Linked DNA regions of Arabidopsis thaliana. The protein of the gene in region 3 interacts with the protein of the main gene of each other region in a pairwise test. Each region holds a gene or a part of one and is shown on either strand. Other genes may lie near its edges.

Region 1 (4,458 bases), 2.1 Mb from region 3:
TCACAGTTTTTAGTAGTTGTAAGAGGCTATAATCACCAAAACAAAGTTTCTCACCAAAGACCATAGAGAACTCGCATCACATTAGATATCATCAACTAGGATCCTAGTGGAATATCCCAAACCAAAGAACATACAATGCATCTCTGTACTAAGAGACAATGATCATATCACGTGAATCAAGAGGATTCGTGGGAAATACAGATCCGAATGTTCGATCTACACATGATAGCACTAGATCAACCTAAATGTCAAACAGATCGGAGAAACAAAAAGCTCGATCTAATTACACCACCTTTTTCCATGTATTCCGATCAAATCATGAAGGATCAACGCAAGAACAACAATGAAGAGAAATAAAACTTAGTGGATTTGATTTTTACCTGGATTGGATGAATGTGAGTCACAGAGACAAAGAGAAGAGAGTGCTCCAAGAGTCACAAAATGATTATAGATTGTGGAATTGGTTGATCCGTTGAACTTTATATTAACTATTATCAATGTGACGCGTAATCTTCGCTCGCCGACAAAATTTTCGTCGTGTAAGATCCTTATTGGCTTTTAAAATTGACATCCATTTCGACACCTCAATTTCAAGATATTACAACAAAGAAGATCACATTTTTGATTAGTACAGAAAGACCCCCAAAATTCGGAGGAATTATTATTATCATACGATTCAAAAAAAAAAAACAAGGCCAGAAGCTTACAAAAGCGTTTAAATGATTTTGTAACCAAGGGTAAAACATTTTGACAATCTTTGAGGTACAAACAATTTCAGAGACTGGATTGTAACCAAATGGGACAACATCAAGAGGTTCTCATACGTGATCATGTTCATCCATCGAACGAGCCGAGCTATTTCAGGTGGTGCTCAAACAACGACGCCATTTCGAGCTGAAAAACAAGAGGAAGAAATATTCAAAGACTTTACCAAAAAGACATAAGAACCCGAATGGTTATAACATGACCAGTTGCTCAATGGAATGATCAGGAATTTCTACATCTTATTCTAACAATAAAGGATTGAATCATAATGATACTTACCGCCGTCAAAGCAGTTTCAGCTCCCTTATTGCCGGCTTTGCCACCAGATCGATTCAGAGCCTAGAGTTTCAGTTAACCACAATATTAACAAATTCAGTGTTCATCCATTATGATGAATAAGCTATATATCATCAACTCTTGCATAACACAACTTAAACCTGATCCATGTCCTCGCAAGTCAGTACACCAAATATGCATGGAACGCCTGCAAATTGGATTTTTTATAAGCTTTAATTACTAGAGTCAATAGTGCGTAAACACAAAATTTGAAGAAGTAATTCATGATGAGGGAATTTAAACATCCAAAATCCAAAGAAAAGCAAAAATGAACTACCCGCTCTTTTAGGTTCGGAAGTATACAAAATCAATCTTTCAGTGTTTCCAAAACAATGTCAAATAAAAATGTCTAAAGATGTATATCCAGCAAATAAGTATCGAGGTAAACCTGAATTTATGCTAGCAGAAAGTACTCCAGACGCAGCAGAGTTGGCAACAGCATCATAATGTGTGGTATCTCCTCTTATCTAAACCACAACAAGGACAACAGTAATATCAAAATCCAACTCTTTAAGTATATGTTATCAACATAAAGCAACTACTTTCTGAAGCCATATGAGGAGAAAAACAAATGGAATAGCCTGAGATTCTTTCAAAACAAGAATCATACCACAGCGCCGATACATAAAACAGCATGAAATTTTCCCGATTTCCCAAGATTTTGTGCAACAACACCAATTTCAAAGCTGCCAGGAACCCAAATAACCTGAATAAAAACAGTGTCATTAGCTTTGTGAAAGCTCATAACTTTTTATTCTGTTCTACAAGCAAAAGACTTTTACTTCAATGTCTTCTTCTCTGACTGAATACTTCTTGAAAGTCTCAATCGCTCCTTCCAAAAGCAACTTAGTCACAACCTCATTGAAACGAGCTACCACCTTGAGAAAGAAAAATGAATCAGAACCAAGTCAACACTGCAATTGAGCTCAAAGTTTTCAAATTTCACTGTAAATCAGAACCAAGTCACTAAATCTAAGCAGCGCACAAAGTAAGAAAGCGATTCTGAGAACTCACGATGGCGAATCTAAGACCTTCGCCTCTGATAAGAGACCCCGTAACATGGCGAACAGCAGCCGTCTGTACGAATGAAGAGCGTAATTCCTTCTCTACAGCTAGTGGTGACGCAAATCCTAACACCAAATGTTAACATCTCAATCACGAAATTGCGAAAAAACGATTTGAGTTATTATAAGAGAAGTGAGAGAAAGCAAGCTTACCGGATGTGGATGAGGAGAATGAGAGATTATTGGATTTGTTCACAGAAGAGCCACCGTGTATATAACAGGCGGAGGAAGATTGACGCGAATTGAGCTGACGGTGTGCCGTCGGTATCAGGCGGAGACACGGCGGCGAAGCTAATGACTTCATTTTTCGTTCGTCGGAGTTTTAGAGACGGTTCTTCGTTCTTCAGGTTAAGAGTGAGACTGTGAGGTCCATTAGCTTATCAAATCGGTTCAAGGCTTCCGGTTTATTATTTTCATTAAAATTACGGTTTCATTGAATCTATTAGTTTGGTTAGAGATTTCCGGTTTGATGAAAAGGGATAAGCTAAACCCTACATCCCCAATCACTCTCACCGGCCGGAAATTTTCAGACAAAAGTGAAAGATTTAAACTTTTGACTCCGTCGTAACAAAGAACAAAACTTCCGTATCCTGGAGAGTAAATTCCTTTATGGCTACGAATGGGTACGTTTCGAAACCTACGAATTTCACGTTTTGATTGACGGAGATGAGCTTTAAACTCTTTAAGAGGATTCTATTGAATTTAAACGATTTGATCACAGGTTAATGGCGTCGTCCAGTGTGTTTCTTCATCGCCCGCGTATCGCATTTGCTTCTAGAACGAATCAGACTGTAGGAAAATACGGTAAAGGCCGTGTTAGTTTCATGGGCATTGGGACACGTCGTCTTCCGGTGGTTTTATCCATGACGGCGATGGCGGATTCCGGTGAGGAGGCCGTGAAATCTGTTTTGCCTGGAAATGGCATATCCATCATGGTAAACCTGATCATCTGATGATTTCTCTTAGACTCAAAGTTGTGAGATTTGACTTTGCATTACCATTTAAGTTTGAAATGTAGAAATGTCAAAGCTTGTTCCTTTTGAAATGGGGATTTTTATGTTGGATTTAGCTATATTCATTATCTCTTATTCTACAGGTGAATGGATGTAGTGGCAAAATGGGGAAAGCTGTAATTAAAGCAGCAGACTCTGCAGGAGTAAATATTGTTCCCATATCGTTTGGATCTGCTGGTGAGGATGGTCAGAGAGTTGAGGTCTGTGGAAAGGAGATTACTGTGCACGGTCCAACTGAAAGAGAAAAGGTTCTTTCTTCGGTGTTTGAGAAGCACCCGGAGCTAATTGTTGTCGACTACACAATTCCCTCTGCAGTAAATGGTAAACTTCAGAATCTCTCATTTCTACCATCAAAAGACAATTGTATTCTAGATTTGTTGAAGTTATGGTTGAATTCTGGTTGGCGGAACGATCCTTGATTGAGTTAGTTTAGAATTTGTGCAAGTGAAAATCATCTGCTAGAAGTGTTTTTTTTGTCTATTGTTTGTTGATTTCAAGTTTGGTATTCTCGCAAAATGTAGATAATGCGGAGCTGTATAGCAAAGTAGGTGTTCCTTTCGTCATGGGAACAACTGGTGGAGATAGGAACAAATTGTATGAAACTGTTGAGGAAGCAAAGATTTATGCTGTGATTTCTCCACAGATGGGTAAACAGGTATGTGTACTTGAATGTTTCTGGAAGAAATGATTACTTATGCATGTAAGTTAAGATCATTTTTGCTCATATTTGTGTGCTTTGTTGGTCTATAGGTTGTAGCATTTCTTGCGGCCATGGAGATCATGGCTGAGCAGTTTCCGGGAGCCTTTTCTGGTTATTCCTTGGATGTACTTTTCTTACTTCTTTTATACATTCAAATTCTTTTTTCTTTCTCTGTTAGTTTTATATTACTTCTTGCTACATCTAATCAACTGCCAATCTATATGTAGGTGATGGAGTCTCATCAAGCTAGCAAATTGGATGCATCCGGAACAGCAAAAGCTGTTATTTCTTGCTTCCAGGAATTGGGTGTGTCTTACGACATGGATCAGGTGCATTGGTCATCCTTTATTGTTTACATCTTGGCAATCACTTAATTTATCCTCGGAATGTGAATTTTCTGTGTATACAACTTTTGTGGCAGATACAATTGATTCGGGATCCAAAACAGCAAGTGGAGATGGTGGGTGTACCTGAGGAGCATATCTCTGGTCACGCTTTCCATCTTTATCACTTGACATCACCCGATGAAACGTAATGCAATATCTAAGATATTGTTTATACTTTTCTTTGTTTCCATTGT
Region 2 (4,107 bases), on a different chromosome or scaffold from region 3:
TCCAGATCGAGCAATGCCATAGCCAATGAGAACGGAAGAAGGAGTAGCGAAAGCAGCAAGTAGATAAGGATTTGAATCAGTGATTGTTGAAGATGAATATGAAGAGAGTAAATCGATAGATAATTTGAAGAGGAAAGGAACTTGAACATTCAAGAACTTAGCTCCTATGAGACACGCTAAAGCAGCGATGACTCTGAATCGGAGTTCTGGGTTGTCTTTCATCCATAGATAGCTTGAAATCGTGCGGAGGATCTTCTTAGATGATGCTGTTTTGGTTTGATCTTGATTTGGAGTTGAAGTTGAAGTTGAGAAGAAGAAGACTCGTGCGTTGACTGGAGATGGAGATGGAGATGGATCGGTGAAGAATGCATTGATAGCTGGTGATCTCTGAATTGAGCTACGTTTGATAAAACTGGAGAAACTGTGATGGTGATGATCAGAGCGAAGACGGTGATACAGAGAAGCGCGAGAGAGGAGAAACCGAGATCCCCTCATCATCGCTTCTTGTCCGAACGAATCACATACAATTTGGTCTAAATCGATTCTTTAATTCTCTGTTTTGTTCTCTCTGTACTACAGAGTAGCTTAACAAGAAGACGAGGAAGAAGATATCAACTCGGAAATAACCGGTTTTGGTTTTCTGTTTTTATTAAGATAATGAAATTAGCTATCTCGGAGATAACCGGTACTGGTTTGATTGCAACTGGGCTTGAGAGAATCAGATACGGTGGTACACACCGCAGCGAATCTCAGAGTATTCATTCTCTCACATGGACTCTTTCGAAAATTCAACTCTTCTACTATATGCAATTAATTAAAAAATTGAACGGTTTATTTGGAAAGTGAAAAGAAGCAACGGTCGGTTATGTCTTCCCTCCAGACGACAGGGTTTTTATTCGGACACCACTAAAAATGGACAGCTAAACTCCTTTATTGCCTTAAAAATTCAATTTTAATTACGTGATTAAAGATTAGATTGCCACTTGATTTTAAAATACTAATTAAACCTATATAGTGATGGTATCTAACTATCAATAGCTTTAAACCGGAACTAATCAGCACCGTCCGATTTGGAAAGATGGATGGACCAAAGGACGTGTGGGCACGAGTCCCCCCTCTCTGTACACGTGGGTCCCACTAAGCCTTCTAAGTAATCTTTTTCTAGCCGTCCGATTGAATCCCATGAAGCTGACATGTGAGCCCCCACTTCTTGAAAATATATATTTGTATGAATTTTGTTTTTATTTTATTTTCCAGCCTTTTAAAAATGTTTTTATTAATACCACGGATACTACCGTTTTGATATCAAATTTTCTTTGAAATCTATCCGATCTTATATCAGATTTTGGAGTCAAATACCAACTACAAAAATCTGAACATTAATACAATAATATACATTTTGAAAAATCATGTTGTCCATTATATTTTTTGGCATCTAATCCTATCGTTAATTGATTATAAGTTTATAAATATATTACAACGGAATTTCGCATAATTGTAAAACTTCCCTATATAAACTTACGAAAAATTGAAATAATTATACCAAAAGTCCACATATTTTATTTTAAAAACTTACATAAGTGGATATTGTTAAAAGAAGGAAAAAAAAAGAGTTTCTAGTAAATATAGTCACGGAATAATGTGAGAAATTTATTATTGGATCAAAAAAATGATAAAATTGGGCGAGAAATAAGACTAAAAGTTAGGGAAGTGAAAAAGAGACAAATCCCACCCGTCGTGTCTTCTTGTTCATCCTTTGTTTCCCTTTTTCTTTCTCACTGTTTCTGCCTTACTTAAAGTCTCAATCTTTGCTTCAAATTCAACCCATCTCTTTTTCCTCCCTTCCCTCACAATCAAAATCTTAATTCTCAGCTTCTGGTTTTGTCGAAAATGGAAGGCGGTTCCGCTAGTGGATCGGCTTCGGCTTTGTCAAACGATGAAAATCTCGTCGTTTCTTGTGAGGATTCTTCTTCTCCTATAGGGAATGAGCTTGAGCTTGGTCTTACGTTGAGCCTTGGTCGCAAAGGGTATCGAGATTGTAGGGTTTACGCTGATGATTCTTCTTCTTCTTCATCATCTTCTTCTCTGAGCAGAGCTAGCGTAATTGCTGGGATCAAGAGGACAGCTGATTCCATGGCTGCAACTAGTGGGTGAGTGAAATTCTCTTCCCTTTCCTCTTTTACATTTTGATCAATTATGGTTTATTTGGGGATTCTTAATATCATGATTATCAATAGAACTATAAATAAAGATTTGATTTTTGCTTTTTATGGTTATGGGATTGATTAGACAGAATGTCCTTGATCACAGTTATCTGAAAAGATTCGACCTTTGTTACGTATAGATGACTTTGAATGTATCTTCCTGATCATTAGATAGTTTGCTTTGGTCATTATATCTTCAAATTGAATCTTACTATCGTTTTCTAGAGATGACAGTTTTTTTCTTCTTGGATTCTAAAGTATTTATTAGCTTTGGAGAGAAAGTGATTAATCCTGTATAGTGATTCTCTTGGTATCTGATTTTACAAGGCCCTGAAGTGTTTATAACCCTTTTTATGTGTTTACTCTTATTTGAGCAATTTGAAACCTTTGAAAATGGCAGGCAAGTTGTGGGATGGCCACCAATAAGGACTTACAGAATGAACAGTATGGTTAACCAAGCTAAGGCTTCAGCCACTGAAGATCCGAACTTGGAGATAAGTCAAGCCGTAAACAAGAATAGAAGTGATTCAACAAAGATGAGAAATTCCATGTTTGTTAAGGTGACTATGGATGGCATTCCTATTGGAAGGAAAATCGATCTGAATGCTCATAAATGCTATGAATCATTGTCAAACACTCTAGAGGAAATGTTTCTGAAACCTAAATTAGGTGTGCTTTTCGAATCTCATGGCCTTTTTTTTGGTTCCTTTGAAGTTGGTTCTTGGTATGGGAAATGAAGTTATGATTCTTTCTTTAATCAGGTTCACGCACACTAGAAACCGATGGTCACATGGAAACACCGGTCAAGATACTACCAGATGGGTCTTCCGGATTAGTACTAACGTATGAAGACAAGGAAGGAGATTGGATGCTTGTTGGCGATGTTCCGTGGGGGTATGCATACATATGTTCTTATGCTTTTGATGCTTTGTCCCGTGTAAGCGTCAAATTCTGAAGTTTGAACCTGAGTTTTACTTGTGTCTAGGATGTTTATTGGTTCAGTGAGAAGGCTCCGGATAATGAAAACATCGGAGGCTACTGGTAAAGGTACATTTACTGATTCGATCAAATCCTGATATCTGTATTAAAATCATTGTTTTGTCGTTGTGACCGTGTTTGTGTGATCCTTGTTTACAGCTCAGATGATATTATGAAGCAAATAATAATCTACGAAGAACCCTTTATGTTTGAAGCAGTAATAAGACAGATCACAGATCAAAGAGAAGACAAAAACATTGTAAGAAGCTTCTTCTTCTTCTCTCCCCTTTACAGTTTCTTTTTTGGCTCTGCCATTTTTCTTTTAGTTAGTTATATGTTCTCTTTGTAAATCACACTTTAAAAATCTATAAGAAAACCCTTTCTTGCACAAAAACAAAACGGTTCAGAGCAATGCACAAAGTTAATATGATCATGTAAAACAAAGGAAACTTATTCTACATGGAAAAATTAAATCAAAAGATACATATCTCTCTCTCTTTCTCTCTTTCTTCTACATACAGAACACGAATCGAACGAATCAGTTTATCGGCCTCTTTTGATTCTTAAATCTCATACTAAAGAAGGCCATTTACAGGTGAAGTACTAAAAACCGATGAATGTTTCTCGGCCAAGCTACGACTAGTGTTCTCTTCATTACTATTACTTTTCCTCCTCGGTTTAGCCTCTCCGAGCATCGATATCACATCTCTCATCGAAGGTCTGTCTTTCGGGAGCTTTGTAGTGCAGAGAAGAGCAATCTGTAGAACTAAAAGCATCTCTTCTTGCACATATCTGCAGTTTCCTACGTTAGGATCTAATGCTTCTTCTAGTGATATGTTGTCTCTTATCTTCCTTCTCACCCACTCCACAATGTCTACTGATTCTCCAAACTCCGGTTCCAATGGTCTTCTTCCGGTTAACAGCT
Region 3 (3,731 bases):
TCGTAGAAATCTTCTGACGGTTGGTTTTACAAACTTTGCTTCGTAGAGTTTTTTTAATAACATTTTTAAAGAAATCACACAATATATGACGATGCGTGAGAAAGAAGAAACGTCTTAAATTAAGAGTGAGGGTGGGTGTACGGACGATGTCGATGGCTGACGTACACCATCACGGTGGTAAAGACGGTGTCTCTTTGAAGTAGATGTCTTTATTCTTGATGACGATAACAATGAGAAGATCAATATTCAATAATAAAGCAATGGTGATGTATTTGTTTTTCAAAAGAATTGATGTTTTTAAATGGATCGATATAGCACATAAATAAGTTGACTTGGCGGTTGGGCATTATATTCGATGTGATGATTCGATGGTTGGTTTTTCCGGTTGGGTATGACTCCACAATGACGCCCGGATGTCATAGTCTAAATGACTGTGTGACCGTACGATAAAATCGAGATAACTTTTGAAGTTTGGTTGGGTATTACTGCCGACTGTTAGGTGTTAATTTTCATTCAGATAAAGTCAATAAACTAAAAGGCAAATAGATAGTAAATACCGTTACGAAAGCTAACACCTACATATTGGAACACATGAATGAATGAGCAAGAGTTGTTTTCTTTATTCGTTTTACTTTGTCGAGTTTTTGCTTTTGCATATTTCCTAATTCTTTTTTTAGAGGTTTCTTGTTTTTGGTCAAAAATTTACAGGTTTATGATAATGTTTTGAACAAGTTCACGTGTAAGGATTAATTTTTTGGCTTTTTCAACAACAAAAGGGGTACTAGTATGATTTTAATCCACACACGAATGACTTGGATCCACGAATCCAACTTCAAATTAATTATAAGAAAAACTTAATTTGCCCATCATTAATCCTTAGATAACAAAATTTCCAGCTATTAAAAAGTAATTATTATATGTGGCATTGAATTTCAAACAACATTCAAATTTAAATGTTATTATTTTGTCACTCAAATTTAAAGGTTATTTATTGACTGGATAATGTTCTTGGTTTGATTGGGTTGCTACGGTTGGATGCGGTTAAAGACCAACAATTTCATCAGAATTAAGGATGGTTGATTTGTACCCACGATATAACATTCGTGTCTAAACATCTTTACATGCACATGCAATGTTGCGAGATATAGTTCACATAAAATTTGGTCCGGTTCACTTGTCTTGATTTGGTTGTACACTTCTACCTGATGAATATATATTCTTATGTTTTAAGAACCAAATCATATCCTCAGAACTAAAGTACCATCTTAACCGGTAAAGAAGCTTAAAACATCGTCATGTATACTGCTTAGCATTCTATACAAAGTAACGTCAATCCACGTTGTTTTTTTCTTTCACATTATTCAAATATTTTTATATAGACGTTCTTTTTATTTTTGATAAAGTTTTTATTTTTGTCAACGATGAACGTTTAAAAAAAAAAAATATGTCGAGTTTTCCCAGCTCCTACAAAAACAAATAAATTAAGACTTTAAATCCCACCTGGAATTAGAAGGTTTTGGTTGACCTGACAAGGCAGATGTTTGGTAACAACAACATGAACCACACATTGGGGAAAGAATCATGAAAATTCCTTGAATCGTAAATTATTTCAGGAGAAAATGACTCTATCTCTAACCTGGTTGATATATCGCAACTAATTCAAATTAGTAAAAATCGAAAATGTTATCGCATTTTGAAATTGTCTTTTGTGAAGATTGTTTCTTTCATTTATTTGTTTAATGCATTTTATAATAAAGTCAAACTATTTTAAAATCTTTGTTTAAAATAATAGCTTACTTACGTGGCAAGTTGAGGAATTTCAATAAGAAGAGGCACCGCGCGCATGTCTTTTACAATTCCTAGACTGTTTCTCTTTACTCTGTTTTTTTGCTCTGTTTTTTTTGTTTGTTTGTTAATGGCCGAAGACTCTAATTCTTCCGAATCAATCATTGTTAACGTCACCGGAGATGATAATAAGTCGGCTTTGTTCGGTAAGTACGATCTCGGTAAGCTCCTCGGTAGCGGCGCGTTTGCCAAAGTCTACCAAGCGGAGGATCTTCAAAACGGCGGCGAAAGCGTTGCGATCAAAGTCGTACAAAAAAAACGTTTGAAAGACGGTTTAACGGCGCACGTTAAGAGAGAAATATCTGTCATGCGCCGCCTCCGTCATCCTCATATCGTGCTCCTCTCCGAAGTCCTCGCCACAAAGACGAAGATCTACTTCGTCATGGAGCTAGCCAAAGGTGGTGAGCTCTTCTCAAGAGTCACCAGCAACCGTTTCACAGAGAGTCTTAGCCGGAAATATTTCCGGCAATTGATCTCCGCCGTGAGATACTGCCACGCAAGAGGAGTTTTCCACCGTGATTTGAAGCCGGAGAATCTCCTCCTCGACGAGAATCGAGATCTGAAGGTTTCAGACTTCGGTCTCAGTGCGATGAAGGAGCAGATCCACCCCGACGGAATGCTACATACGCTCTGTGGAACTCCGGCTTACGTAGCACCGGAGCTTCTTTTGAAGAAAGGCTACGACGGTTCTAAAGCTGATATTTGGTCATGCGGCGTCGTTTTGTTTCTTCTCAACGCAGGCTACTTGCCGTTTCGTGATCCAAACATCATGGGACTCTACCGGAAAATCCACAAGGCTCAATACAAGTTACCGGATTGGACATCTTCAGATCTGCGGAAACTCCTCCGCCGTCTCTTGGAGCCAAATCCGGAACTGCGAATCACCGTGGAGGAGATTCTAAAGGATCCGTGGTTCAATCATGGAGTAGATCCAAGCGAAATCATCGGAATCCAAGCCGATGATTACGATCTGGAAGAAAACGGTAAAATTCTAAACGCGTTCGATTTGATTTCTTCGGCGTCGAGCTCGAATCTCTCCGGTTTGTTTGGAAATTTCGTGACGCCGGATCATTGCGACCAGTTTGTATCCGATGAGAGTACGGCCGTTATTATGAGGAAGGTCGAGGAAGTTGCGAAGCAGTTAAATTTGAGAATCGCGAAGAAGAAGGAGAGAGCGATAAAGCTTGAAGGTCCACATGGAGTAGCTAATGTCGTCGTTAAAGTTCGCCGGCTAACAAATGAACTAGTGATGGTGGAGATGAAGAACAAGCAAAGAGACGTGGGCTTGGTTTGGGCCGATGCTCTTAGACAAAAGTTACGTCGTTTGATTAACCAACCGGTTTATAAAGTTCCTGACAAACCGTAAAACGGTTTCAACACTAAACCAACAATCCGTGCGTTTTACTTTTAGAATTTTCAACGTACTACACTCGGGATCGAGACGCATTGTGGTTAACCGGTTCGGTTTACATTGGAGCAGGGAGAGTAATGGGACGATCCGCCTCTTTGTATATAAAAATGACAAGAAGAAAGAAAAAAACAAACCGGGATTCAATTATTTTTGTTTATTTATTTTCGGAGTATAATTTAAACACAAAAATTATTTGCTTTATTCATCGGAGAGAATTTGAATAAAACTCTGATTTGAACTTTGTAGCCTTTTATGTGTGACCGTGTGTGTTTGCAAACTTGGGCCTTATTTTGCGCTAAGGGACATGCTACACCGTTTGTAATATTTATCGTTGTTGATTTTGTTTGGCAATCGTACGAAGTATTTCAGGATCTTTTATGTATGAATGTTTATTTGAGTTTGTATTAAAAACATATATATGAATGTTACAGATTAACGAATAGTTGTCACTGCTGATTACCACTTGGCAATTCCG
Region 4 (4,537 bases), on a different chromosome or scaffold from region 3:
AAATGGTTTGATTAGTAATATTAATGCAAGTATCACCATAAGATAATTTCATTTCTTCACAATAATAGGAGAAACCAAATGTTATGTCAAACTTGTCATCACACAACTCAAAGCACCTTGACACTTACATTTTGGGCTACATTTTGACAGTAATACGGTAACTAACAACAATTTATATGAAAAATCAGTAGATTAAATTACCAAATACATATAAATATGTTTCAGTAAAAAATAAAGAATGTGTGCTAATGCTTAGATATTTATACAGAGTGAAAATGACCTAAAGAAGCAGAACTGTCCAGAAGAGTTAATTTACTCTCTTTTATTTTCTGTTATCATAAGGAAACGGTCACGAGAAAGACACAAACTCACCAGTTACCACTTGCAAAAAGAGAGTTCAACCTTTAGAGATTCTTCTGTCGTTTAACGTCGTCGTTTCAACGTTTGTTCCCTCTAGATTCATTGTACCACAAAATAACAAAAGTGGCGCACTTCTCTAGGCAATCACTTTGATGATCAGTTGATCACCGCTTTTTTTCTGATCACAAATTTACGAGAACCGGTTTGGTTCAAACTTAGCTTGTGACTTCTTTGTTATGTTCAACAGTTCTCACATACTCTTAGTAGCATACAAAGAAGATTTATTTGATTAAACAGATGAGAGGTTCAAACACATTATGACAAATGTTAAAGGAGTTTTGGGGCATAAAGTAACAAAAACAAAACACAAACGAATTCAAAAGATTCACTAAAACAAAAACTACCACAACCCCTAAAAATAAGCCTCTACTTAACTTCATCACAACTACCCTCAAGATAGAGGCTCATGGCTTCTCGCAATGCAAACAGGAACTCCTGAGAGAGACAGACAGAGACAGCAGAAGAAGATGCAAGTAACAGACATTAGAAAGTTTTGGAGGTTGATAAACGAACGATGCGGGAAACTCACAAACATGCAGCCTTATTTACATGAAACTGGATCTCTTCAGAAGACTCCTCCAATCATGGAATGAATTTCATCAATACTCCATAGGTCCATAGGGTTTGCACCATTGTCCTGAGTCGTTACAGCATCTTCGTTGAGGAAATCCAGTGAAGCGTCCCATTCAGTGTTGTTGTAAGGTGTCTCGAAATCCATAGACTTGAGCTTCTTAGCTGGATTGGCTTCCTCAAAGAACAGAGCTGAGTTGTTGTTGTTGATAACCGCAGAAGAGATGTCGGGAGTTATCGGAGCTTGATCGCTCCAACCAAACTCCGAACAATCGAAAGAATTACTACCCTGGTCAGAGCTGAAATACTGATACCCATTACATCCAGCATCAACGGAGTTTGTCATCCCAAACTGGTTGTTGTTGTTGTTGCTCACTTGGTGTTTCTCCTCCATGAAACACATATTTTCAAAGGAGATGTTCGAGTTCTGAACCAAAGCTGGACTTGGGTTAGGGTTAGGTTTAGCCACTGGTTTCTGAAGATTAGCCTTCACAGAGCGTTTCTGAGAATTAGCCTTCATGTTTTCTTCAGGGAAATTCACCTTAGCTTTAGATCCACGGATTCTCCGCGCTGCAGCATCGTAAGCTCTAGCAGCTTCCTCAGCTGTCTTGAACGTTCCAAGCCAGATTCTAGCACCTTCCCTTGGATCACGTATCTCAGCAGCCCATTTTCCCCAAGGACGTTGCCTAATCCCTCGGTACTGATTCTTCCTCTTCCTATTTGCAGATTTCTCAGCGTCCCCATCCAAGCCAGTAACTTTCTTACCAAAAACTGAACCTAGTAGTGAAACAACAACAAAACAAAAGAGTTCTTCTATAAATAACTCATCAACAATCTCTAATCAAATCTCATCACACAAATCAAGTCTCATCACTCAACCTCATATGCATATAAATATCACACAAATCAAACCTCATGCTTTATACAACAATCAAAATCGTAAGCAGATAAAGGTATCTATGAACAGAGCTAAATAGAATCGAAACTTAATTTCTAACCAATTCAATCGCTCAAACTAAAGTCAATCCCTAAATATTTACCTTCCGCAGCGGCGGAGACGGCGGGTTTTGGAGTCGAAGTGAAAACGAATGGTTTCACATCGGCGAAAACATCACCGACGTCGAAATCATCATCGCAATCGATAGACGAATCATCTTTGAAACCTTGGAAATCAGCTTCGAACTCAGCGTCAAAATCGAAGAAATTCGAACGATTCTTCGAGCTTTTCTTCGATCCTTTCAAATTCTTCTTCAGATCCGGCCAAATAAACTCGCTAGTAACACGGCGAGACCTCGGCGGTGGAATGAAATCGGATATTATAGCTCCTCCACACATGGCGGCGATTCTTGAGGGTGTAAATGTTCGAAAACAGAATCTTAGCGGCGAAAATGGAAACTAATTGATACTTTTGGGGGTTATATCTTTGCTTCTTCTTCTCTCTTCAACGCTTTGCTTTGTTGTTTTCTTCAGAAAGAGATTTTAGAGTAAAATAAAAGATGAAGCGAGTACGATGGTTGTTTACTATTATACCCTTATCTTGATGTACTATTTACGGTACTACCAGACTTTTATATTCATTTACTGTAGATCTATATTGTAAATTAGGATTTTATTAGTTTATTAATAGTTAGTTGCAGTAAATAAGATTAAAAATTTAGTCAGAGTTGTCTGCTGGTAGACAAAAATAGTCTAAACAAATTTTTACCTAACGTCAATTGATTTTTTCATAAAGTCTATTTCCCTTAGATCTAGTATCTATTAATGTGATTAGGCATTAAAAACACAACTAAATACTTTTGCAATGTTGTTTGCATTCAGGAGTAGCCAACGCAGAACAGATATTTAACATTTAAATTTAAATAATATTATAAATGAATTATGAAAATGTTTTAACATAGGCACAAAATAAATGAATTATTGAAAATATAATGAAAAACTATACAACAACTTTTGAATGTAATTTTGATTAGGAGAGAGGACCATTAAGACCTTATGCTGTTATGCATAAGGCTAAAATTGTAAAAGCATAGAAACACATTTATGAATCTGCGTGTGCAGGACACGTACGATATTATTGAAGCTTTTTGAGCAAGTTGATAGGATTTGGTTTTTATGACAAAGCTTTTGTCGTTTCGTGACAAACAAAAAAGTTATTAAAAATAATCCGAAAAATATATTTGTCCTTTTGTTTGATAACTAGCATTCCAAATCAATTACTAGTTTTCTTAAACTCAATTTAAAATTTCCTTGTAATTCTGTTTACTCTTAACTAACTTTATTAGGTCCAAATTATCAGGCATCGTAAATTACGGAATATTCAGTAGGTATGTGTTATGTGTATGTGTACGTGGAAACCATATTTTGTTGTTTTATGGTGAAATATATTTTATGGTTGCAACTTTCTAAATTATGTATAAACAACTATTGGAAATTCAGTTAAAAGAAAATTTTATTTTATAAAATTCAACTTCATACGTGTATAGTTATACTACATATAATATATATATATATATATATATATATATATATTAGTGCAATCATGTACTATATATTTATATATTAAGATCAAATTGTGAACGCAAAGAAAGACAGATGAATAAAATAGGTAGGGTCCAAATCATTTTACAGGATTGAGACAAGTTCCTAAATTAGCTTATCTCAAAGAAACAGATAATGATGTCAATATGTCATTCATGGAGCAATTATTTGTTTCACTATTTTAACTTTTAATAATTGACTATACTCGTTTCGGAACTGTACATTAGTACAATTTCTTTGTGTTTATAGATATAAACCTTATGTTTTGTTTTTCTAACCAAATTTATAAGAAGCAAAACAAATTCCAGTAGTTGATTTTTTGTTCACTAACTGGAATTCTTAAATCTGAACATAACTTCTCATTAATTGGAATCATTGGATGGATACAAAGTGAAATCATTTTACACAAGGCAAGTTGTCTTTTTGGGCCGAATCGCTAAGATAGTGGGCTTCATAGGTCGAGTTATAGGCACTTGCATTTAGTTTAATTGATTGGCCTTTTAATTGGGCCGAGACCACGAACCTGCTTAGTTACTCGTGACAGTGTGACACTATAAAACAATAAATTAGTTGGGGAATTGGGTTGAACAAAGTGATCACTTGACAAGTAAAACAATAATTCCAATTGTTTAAAATACAGTATTTTGGCCTGTACATATTCAACACGTGACTAAATGAGTTGTTCATATCTTCTCAACCAAAGAGTGTCTATGTCCCTGTCACATACATTTAAAATATCTCCCATACATAAAAAAAAAAGAAGCAAATCGAATAATTTATTTATCAGAGAGATTTTCTTCTTTAAAATAATTCTTTATCCAGTTCATATCCATCATGTCACGATCCAATCTGAATATTAAAATGTTCTTCGAATTAATCAGATTTAGTTATGAAATATGAGTCATATCTCATATGACACTTTGTATCATTTAATTATCTCACTAATTAACGTGTGACTACAAGTAATCTTTATTTTTGGTCAACAGCTACAATTAACCTAACTAATTAA

Evidence for each region.
Region 1: the proteins of CIPK22 (region 3) and COS1 interact in binary tests that used the Arabidopsis thaliana proteins (3 or more experiments, as listed by UniProt).
Region 2: the proteins of CIPK22 (region 3) and IAA11 interact in binary tests that used the Arabidopsis thaliana proteins (3 or more experiments, as listed by UniProt).
Region 4: the proteins of CIPK22 (region 3) and RAP2.12 interact in binary tests that used the Arabidopsis thaliana proteins (3 or more experiments, as listed by UniProt).

The regions. Positions count from the first base shown.
Region 1 is NC_003071.7:18,222,315-18,226,772, reverse strand, and holds COS1 (6,7-dimethyl-8-ribityllumazine synthase / DMRL synthase / lumazine synthase / riboflavin synthase), read right to left. Parts: upstream 2,561-4,458; 5' UTR 2,470-2,560; coding exon 2,319-2,469; intron 2,232-2,318; coding exon 2,116-2,231; intron 1,980-2,115; coding exon 1,884-1,979; intron 1,808-1,883; coding exon 1,712-1,807; intron 1,569-1,711; coding exon 1,490-1,568; intron 1,250-1,489; coding exon 1,203-1,249; intron 1,105-1,202; coding exon 1,045-1,104; intron 895-1,044; coding exon 856-894; 3' UTR 540-855; downstream 1-539. Other genes in the region: AT2G44040 (Dihydrodipicolinate reductase, bacterial/plant), read left to right, coding at 2,775-2,788, 2,887-3,100, 3,262-3,499, 3,700-3,833, 3,929-4,003, 4,106-4,207, 4,300-4,409. UniProt on the Arabidopsis thaliana protein: Catalyzes the formation of 6,7-dimethyl-8-ribityllumazine by condensation of 5-amino-6-(D-ribitylamino)uracil with 3,4-dihydroxy-2-butanone 4-phosphate. This is the penultimate step in the biosynthesis of riboflavin.
Region 2 is NC_003075.7:14,140,398-14,144,504, forward strand, and holds IAA11 (indole-3-acetic acid inducible 11), read left to right. Parts: upstream 1-1,737; 5' UTR 1,738-1,890; coding exon 1,891-2,150; intron 2,151-2,604; coding exon 2,605-2,873; intron 2,874-2,965; coding exon 2,966-3,098; intron 3,099-3,189; coding exon 3,190-3,251; coding exon of another isoform or gene 3,252-3,280; exon of another isoform or gene 3,281-3,341; coding exon of another isoform or gene 3,342-3,346; coding exon 3,347-3,531; 3' UTR 3,532-3,572; downstream 3,573-4,107. Other genes in the region: ABCB23 (ABC transporter of the mitochondrion 1), read right to left, coding at 1-498; AT4G28650 (Leucine-rich repeat transmembrane protein kinase family protein), read right to left, coding at 3,758-4,107. UniProt on the Arabidopsis thaliana protein: Aux/IAA proteins are short-lived transcriptional factors that function as repressors of early auxin response genes at low auxin concentrations.
Region 3 is NC_003071.7:16,113,389-16,117,119, reverse strand, and holds CIPK22 (CBL-interacting Serine/Threonine-kinase), read left to right. Parts: upstream 1-1,915; coding exon 1,916-3,211; downstream 3,212-3,731.
Region 4 is NC_003070.9:20,133,030-20,137,566, reverse strand, and holds RAP2.12 (uncharacterized protein), read right to left. Parts: upstream 2,724-4,537; 5' UTR 2,326-2,723; coding exon 2,031-2,325; intron 1,768-2,030; coding exon 986-1,767; 3' UTR 554-985; downstream 1-553. UniProt on the Arabidopsis thaliana protein: Transcription factor involved in the activation of hypoxic gene expression and in ethylene response. Partially redundant with RAP2-2. Acts as a downstream regulator in the ethylene signaling pathway.